Nothobranchius furzeri: one gene and its partner. Each later gene encodes a partner of the first gene's protein in a complex. Links are inferred from orthologs where the notes say so. Each region holds a gene or a part of one and is shown in the gene's direction. Other genes may lie near its edges.

Region 1 (3,818 bases):
AACAGGCAATCACAGTAAAAATGCCAGGGCTCATTCTACAAGACCAGGGCATTGCAGGAGAATGTATGAAGAAGACATTTATTATTTCTATACATGTTTTGGCTGTCAAACGTCCATAATGTCCCTTTAATAAACCTTTACGTCGCTGTAAAAGAAGCAGCCTGGAGTGTTTAACTGTTCGGTGAATTTGAGGTTCTGTGTTGAGTTTACAAACTCAGTTTTTACACAAATGTTTGTGGAAATCAAAATGGCTCCTCAGTCCTGAGATCTGTTTCTCTGAACAGAGGCCGATCGGAGGAGCTTTCTACAACATTTAAGAAAAATATTTTTCCTCACACATAAAACACGTTGATGGCCAAAGTCTCCCTTTAGAAAGTATGATGTAATGTGCTTTTGGTGTTATAATGGTTGTATTTATAATGGATGTGCGACTCACCTGTCTGCAGGTGTTTCTGTGGGGTTAAACCTCCATGTTTGTATTGTGCTTGTTTATATTTGGCTCGGTGTTCTTTGTGCAGCAGGACGTGGCCAGACTCTATTACTAAAGTAGCCGCTAATTAGATTCTTCTCTTTCTTCTTGTTCCAGACTGAGCGATGAGGTTCCTTCAGTGAGGCAGACCGCCGTGACAGTTCTTACTCAGCTGGTGCTTAAGGATGTGCTCAAGGTCAAAGGTCAAGTCAGCGAGGTCGCTGTGCTGTTAATTGACCCGGAGGTGCACATCAGCAGCCTGGCTCTGAACTTCTTCAATGAGCTGTCCTCAAAGGTGCCCCCCCACCACCACCACACACACACACACACACACACAGAAAATAGTCATTTGAAGGGTTTTTGACGTTGCTCTTTCCGTTCCCGTCAGGACAATGCCATCTACAACTTGCTCCCAGACATCATCAGCCGCCTGTCTGATCCAGAGAGGGGCATGAGCTCGGAGGACTTCAACACCATCATGAAGTGAGTCTCGCAGCTGCTCGGAGTTCGTTTACGCCCTAATCAAAGTAACGTTTGTCCTTGTGTTTTTTCCAGACAGCTGTTTTCCTACATCACTAAAGAGAGGCAGACGGAGTCTCTGGTAGAGAAACTCTGTCAGCGCTTCAGGACTGCAACGTGAGTGCATCTGTTCCCTCGTCTCGGACCCGCATATTCGTTTTTCTTCCCAGCAGCTTTGCGTCTAAATTGTGAGCTTTTGTTGCAGCGTTTCATTATGGGGCGGCTGTGTGGGTAATTAGTGGGCGCTCTCACTCACAGAAGAGAGCGAATCAAGTTCAGCTCACCTGTCACCTGCACTGCTGTCTCATTCACTCTGTCATGGAAACGCTCTTCTGGTTGAGTTTGTGCAGCGAATGGGCCGGCCAGACTTCAGCCTCTGACTCATTCTTCATCCACACACGGAGCTCAAAGCAAGGGCATTTTAAATTATAGTATGGCAAAGTGAATTTAGTCATAAGAGGATCCTGGGAAATGAGATTTGGTCCAAATGTCACAGCAATGCCATGTTTATGAGTAATGAGCTTTTTTAAGTTATTTGGCTCTGGGATGTCCGCCTTTCGTTGCTGCTAATCGGGTTTGTTTTCAAATCCCTCAAACTCTCCTTTGATGTTCTCCTCAGGACGGAGCGACAGTGGTGCGACTTGGCCATCTCTCTGTCTCTGCTGTCCATGTGTGAGCGCGGGTTTAAGAGACTGCAGGAGAGCTGGGAGTGTTACAGCGACAAGCTGACCGAACCTGGAGTCTACCAGCCCCTCCTGTCCATCACCGGCAAGCTCCGCCGTGGAGCCAAGCCTCAGTTTAAGGTACCGGCGCTCGTTCTTAGGTCAGTCGTGTGCAAAAGGCCAGGACAGGACTTTTATTTATGATCAAATCTTTCAGGCTCAGGTTGATGATTTTGAGAAGCGGCTGACGGCGGTTCACACTCGAGGTTTGGAGAACGTGGAAAGTCCTGAGATGGACGAGGAGAACCAAAAGGCAGAAGGATCCACTAAGAGGATGGTGGCGTGTACGCCTCGGCCCACCAGAGGTCGTCAGAAATCCAAAAGGGGTCAGAGTTCACCTCATGTAACTTTTTTCACAAATGATGTTTAGTGATGAATTATTTTAGTTTATTTTCCTCTTGGTTTTATTGCAGGCCAATCAAAGTCCTCCATTTCCGGCTGCGACGACGACGCGTTCGTAACGCCTCGACAGTCTCGAAAGTCCAGGAAACCTGCGGTTACCTTCAGCAGTGATGAAGAGGAGGACGAAGGCACGCGTTTTCTATTTTTAAATGAAAATAAATCTCTACATTTATTTAAAAATGTAAATTTGTTTTAATCCAAACCTTCTCAAAAGTGTCACCCCAACACCTGGAATCAGTGACGAAGGTTCGCTCTAGTTATTAAATACAAACCAAAGACCGCTGGCTCAAATTAGACGAAGGCAAATCTTTGTTTGTGTTTTTAAAAACAACAAAGCGGATGTGTTCCTGAGCTGTTGTCACCTAATTAACCGAGCTCAGACTCGGTTAATTAGGTGATGTTAAAGCGTGTAAAGTGTTTTATTACTTTGAAACAAATTCTCAGATCAGTAAATCTGATTATTTAGGCCAGTCTTGGGATTCAAAGAGAATTTTAGATTAATATTTTTGGAATCGGAAAAGGGTAGAACGCCTTCTCGGGTCAGGGACGAGGTCCTGTCTTGTTCACGAGTGAGGGAAAGATGGAGCAGGAGATCGACAGGCAGCTTGGTGCTGCGTCTGCAGCGATGCGGGCGTTGTACGGATCTGTTGTAGTGAAGAGGGAGCTGAGCCAGAAGGCGAAACGAGAACGTGGATACAAGCGGCCGGAATGAGCTTTCTCCACAGGGTGGCTGGGCTCTCCCTTAGAGAGAGGTTCAGAAGCTCAGTCATCCGGGAGGGGCTCGGAGTAGACCTGCTGCTCCTCCACATCGAGAGGAGCCAGTTGAGGTGGCTCGGGCGTCTGGTTAGGATGCCTCCCTGGTGAGGTTTTTCCAGGCATGTCCAACCGGAAGGAGACCTAAAGGAAGACCCAGGAAGCGCTGGAGAGACTATGTCTCTCAGCTGGCATGGGAACGCCTTGGGATTTCCTTGGAGGAGCTGGGCCAAGTGACTGGGGAGAGGGGAATCTGGACCTCTCAGCCCCTGCGACCTGACTCCAGATAGAAGCGGCTGAAAATGGATGGATTTTTATTATTTTTTACCTGAGTTCTGATAAAGTGAGCGGAGCATGACCGCGGCACTAATCCTGGACCTGTAGATGGATTTGACGGAAAACACCTCAGCTGGAACATCAAACACGGCTAACTTTAACAAAAGGGTTTTAAAGGTTTATGTGACGTTTCAGCGATTCTTCAATACTTTTAAAATGACGTCTGTTCGAAAAGAACTTTTCTTCTGTTATTTAGTAATTATTTTTATTTTGCAAATGGTGCACATTTAGTTTTTGTTGAATGTTACCAGTTAACCAGAATGTATGGCAGCCAAATTAGTCCTAATGTGTAAAAAAAAAAAATCAATGGAAAAGGCTGGAAACAAAACAAAAAAGTGCACAAGTTACTTTAAAAATGGGGCTTTAAAGGTACAATATGTAAGAATTTAAATAATCCCAGAACTATCTAACAGTCATGTTGGAAGGAACGTTACATTGAAATGGATTTCCTTCTCAGCCGGCTGGGAGGTTGCCAGTTTTTCCTCCTCCCTAAAAGTCTAAAGAGGGACATAGTCTTTGTTGATAATCTGTGAGCCGACGGGGTTGTAGAGTCTGTGCCGAGCTAACGCTGCTGCACCGGCATTTGTAATTCTTCACCGGCTGGCAAAATGCAGCAG
Region 2 (3,818 bases), on another chromosome or scaffold:
TCCATTACCACAGGATAAGTACTCGTAGTTCACACTCGGATCCAACATAGCTTCACAAAGTCATCATTGCATTCTTCTGTGATGCTTTAGTGGTTTATTTAATTGACTTTTTCTGTGTGTTTTGAACATTTTTCTCTGACGTTAGTCATGATCTGCACAAGCATGTTGTGGAGAAAGAGCAGGAGAAGCAGAAGATCCTGGACGACACCAAGGAACTCCCAGAGAAAACGGCTAAGATAGCTCAAGAGATGGAAAATATGAATCAAGAGCTGAAAAATGTCGAGAAGTAAGAAGTCTAAGGTTTCCTTCTGCTAGGGCTGCTCAATTAATCGAATTTTAATCACGATTACGATCTGAGTTTTGAACGATTATAAAAAACAAAACAAGCCGATTATTTGCTCCTCCCGCTTGCGCTGCCCTGAGTTGCAAATGAAGCGCTCCTCCACAGTGTTGCCAACTTGGCGACTTTGACGCTATTTCTAGCAGCTTTTCAGACCCCCTTCTTGACTTTTTAATCCTAAAAGTACCTAGCGAACATCTCAGAAACATCTCTGGTAACCCTTAGCTACTTTCTGGATAACGGTCGTCGACATTTCCTGCAGGTTAGCTAAACACTCCGCCTGAGCTCCGGACCGTTCTTCACAACATTAGGAAAGGGAATGATGTAGTGATGTGTCGGTCGCTAAAGACAGCTCTCGGAGCCGGCTCCTTGTTGGATTAACCAGAGTGAGTGACACACACATCGCACCTGCGGACTCCTGAGCAGCTAAAAACAGCTAAATGTGCGCGTGCAGCGTGCTAAACACACGTGCAGCTTGCCCGATTGCTGTGAGACCGGTTTGGGGGGTGGGGGGTGCAGCTGTGGTTGAGACAATTATTACATTAACTGATCGACCTGTAAATAGTTTATAAATAAGGTAGAAATAAGTTCCTCACGCTGATAAATAATAACTAATCTCTCTGAGGACACGGTGCTAGTGCACGCTCCTACAGCACCTTGACATGACTAAATAAATGTTATGCAACATTTTGTGAACATCAATTTATTTGCATTTATTTGTTATAAATGCCACTGTATAATTCTTGCTGTCAGTATTTGCAAGATATTGGTATTTGGGTCTGTACTAGTTAGACTTAAATGAGTTAAACCAAGGTCTATAGCCCTTGGGTCATAGACTATGAGCTATAAGTATATTGGTCTTTTTATACTGGGAATCAGGAGTTATTTTAGTGATCATCTTGTTTCTTATTTTTGTCCTAATTGTGCCCTGAGCAATTTTATGACTGAATAAAAACAAATAAAATCATCATAAATTGAAAAATCGTCCTAAATAATCGTGATCTCAATTTCAGTCACTAAAATCGTGATTATTATTTTTGCCATAATCGAGCAGCCCTACCTTCTGCTGTTTCTAACTACTAAAAAATTTTTGATTTCCTGCTAATTAAGTAATTTTTGTCATTTGAATCGTTTTTAATCACGTTACCTGTCGAGATGAATAAAGTTTTATTGGATTAGGTTGGGTCGTGGTTGTTACCTGCTCCTAATGTGGTGTTGAGGATAATTTAAGTTTTGCTTAAATGTAAATATGTTTTTTTGAAAGTTACTCCCAAAAAGATGTTCTTTAAAGAGCAAGTCACCCCCAAATCTACTTTTTTTGCTGATAAACTATTTAAACGAGTGTCTAATCGTGCTGTAGACGCGTGTATTCAGTAATTTGGCACTTCAGTGCATCTTAGTTAAAATTTAAATATTCAGCCTATAACTGTCAGTGTTGCGCTGTCGTCAGGTAAAACCTCTGCACTGTATTTTAATTTAAATCTGCCACAGCTATTGGCTAAAGCTTGGTTTATGCTTGACGCATTCACTTTCCGCTTGGTGATGCGGCTCGCGGATGGAACGCGCTTCACAACTTGCAGTGTTTATGGTTCATGCGGCTTGTCTCTGCGGTGAGACAATATTCTCCCAAACTGTAGGGGGCAGCATGGAGCTCTACGGCATGCATCCAACACTACACCATAGTAGAAGTAGAAATGACTGTTGTTTACAACATGGCATTCCAGCATTTTTTAACAGCGTCCTCGTCTTTTCCGACAGTGCGAGCTATTTCTCTCCAAGAATTATTAACCTGTTGATCACGGTGATCTCTGAGAGCTGAATCATACAAATGTCTGTATTTACAAACCTCTGCCATACTAGTTCTTGCCAGTCCGCCATGTTTTTCTGCGTCCAACCGTCCGCGTGGTTAGAAAAATTCCTGGTTGCGCGGTGCGGAAAGTTTGGGCCGTGCAGAGGTGCGGTGGAGGGGCGTGGTTGTCAAAATGACGCAGCTTTCCGCGCGGAGCCGTGAAAACCTAGCGGACGCGTCAAGCATAAACCAACCTTAAGAAGAATGCTATGATGTTAACTGATACATTATGATGTCACAATGCTGTTGTGAGCCTGTGTGTGTGTGTGTATTTGTTAGCGGCTCCGCCCTCTCGGTCTGCTAGGCAACAGCATTTGTTGCATTTGTCAAACAGGAAGTGGGAGTGGAGTAAGACTCTGGTGGGGGTGACTTGCTCTTTAATATTTTTTATAGTTTTCTGTTTTGACTCATTACCTTTATAAGTAACTTATCAGTTAACTGAACAGAAATGTTCTTTAAAATCTAGAATATTTGCTTTTTTAACTCGAACATCTTTTTGGTTTTAAATAGTTATGTTTCATAAATAATTTAGAGGGGTTTGATTCGGCTTACTCAGTAAAATGTTGTTTTTTCCCTTCAGAAAACAAAATGAGATCAACAAGTACATTGAGACCCAGAAGGAAAAGTTCACCCAGCTGGACCTGCAGGATGTTGAAGTGCGTGAGAAGATCAAACACTCCAAGAGCAAGAATAAGACTCTGCAGAAGCAGCTGGAAAAAGACAGAAAAAAGGTGTGTTGGCCTTTAAAATGCTCAGTGGTTTCATTTCCACTTGCTGTGACGGATTTCTACTAGATAAGTGATGTCACTCTGGTATAAATAACCCCGCAGCAACACCGATCAAAGGCACTGAGACACACAAAAAATAAAAAGCAACATTTTTCCCCAAAATCTGTAGCATTAATAAATGTAACATTAGCTGCACTAGCGATAGCAGCAGTGTTAGCTTGTTTTGGGCCAAAAAGAAACTCGAGGAGGAAAAAATAACGTTTGTGCCGTTCTTAGTCTGTTGAGTTTCTAACCAGATTTCTTCAAACCACTTTTGTTGTGAAAATGATGACATTTTTTATTATTTTTGAACAAAAACAATACAAATCAGGGAGAAATGAAGCAGAAATATTAATAAAGGTTTGTTGGTCGGTTTGAAGAAAAGCGTAAAGAAGCCGACGCTTCTGGGATTTTTTTTCTCGATACCATTTTGATCAAAAGCTTCTAGTTTAACTGCTGTGGATGGTTATCGTTTATTAAACAAATATAAAGTATTATCTTTAAGCTCATTGAAATTTAGATTAATGATCCCAGATCTGCACACTATCTGAGCTGAAGTGGAGAACAGGAATGTTTCTTGGTTCAAATCCTTTTATTACGATGTGTCTGATTATGTAAAGATGTTTACAGTTTTGTCTGCTTTTACCATAGAAAATGAATCTTTAATGTAAACTGGCTTCATCCACAGGATGCAGTAACGCCATTTAAATCTGTAGGCCAGCGTTCATGACAGGAAGCTGTCTGACGTAAATGAGCCACTAGGGGGCTCTGAAGCAACACACGGCCAGCTTCAGATGGGTGCTCTCCCAAGGAAAAGATTCATACTTGTGTGTTCCACACGCTCCATAATAAACTGAGAAAC

The links.
Region 2: ncapd2 (region 1) and smc4 share a complex: the UniProt entries of both Homo sapiens proteins name them as parts of the condensin complex. The link is inferred for Nothobranchius furzeri from reciprocal best matches to the Homo sapiens genes NCAPD2 and SMC4.

Annotation. Positions count from the first base shown.
Region 1 is NC_091745.1:73,760,587-73,764,404, forward strand, and holds part of ncapd2 (condensin complex subunit 1), read left to right. Parts: intron 1-586; coding exon 587-764; intron 765-857; coding exon 858-952; intron 953-1,024; coding exon 1,025-1,105; intron 1,106-1,607; coding exon 1,608-1,791; intron 1,792-1,867; coding exon 1,868-2,036; intron 2,037-2,123; coding exon 2,124-2,240; intron 2,241-3,818. UniProt on the Homo sapiens protein: Regulatory subunit of the condensin complex, a complex required for conversion of interphase chromatin into mitotic-like condense chromosomes.
Region 2 is NC_091753.1:52,610,920-52,614,737, forward strand, and holds part of smc4 (structural maintenance of chromosomes protein 4), read left to right. Parts: intron 1-145; coding exon 146-286; intron 287-2,769; coding exon 2,770-2,920; intron 2,921-3,818. UniProt on the Homo sapiens protein: Central component of the condensin complex, a complex required for conversion of interphase chromatin into mitotic-like condense chromosomes.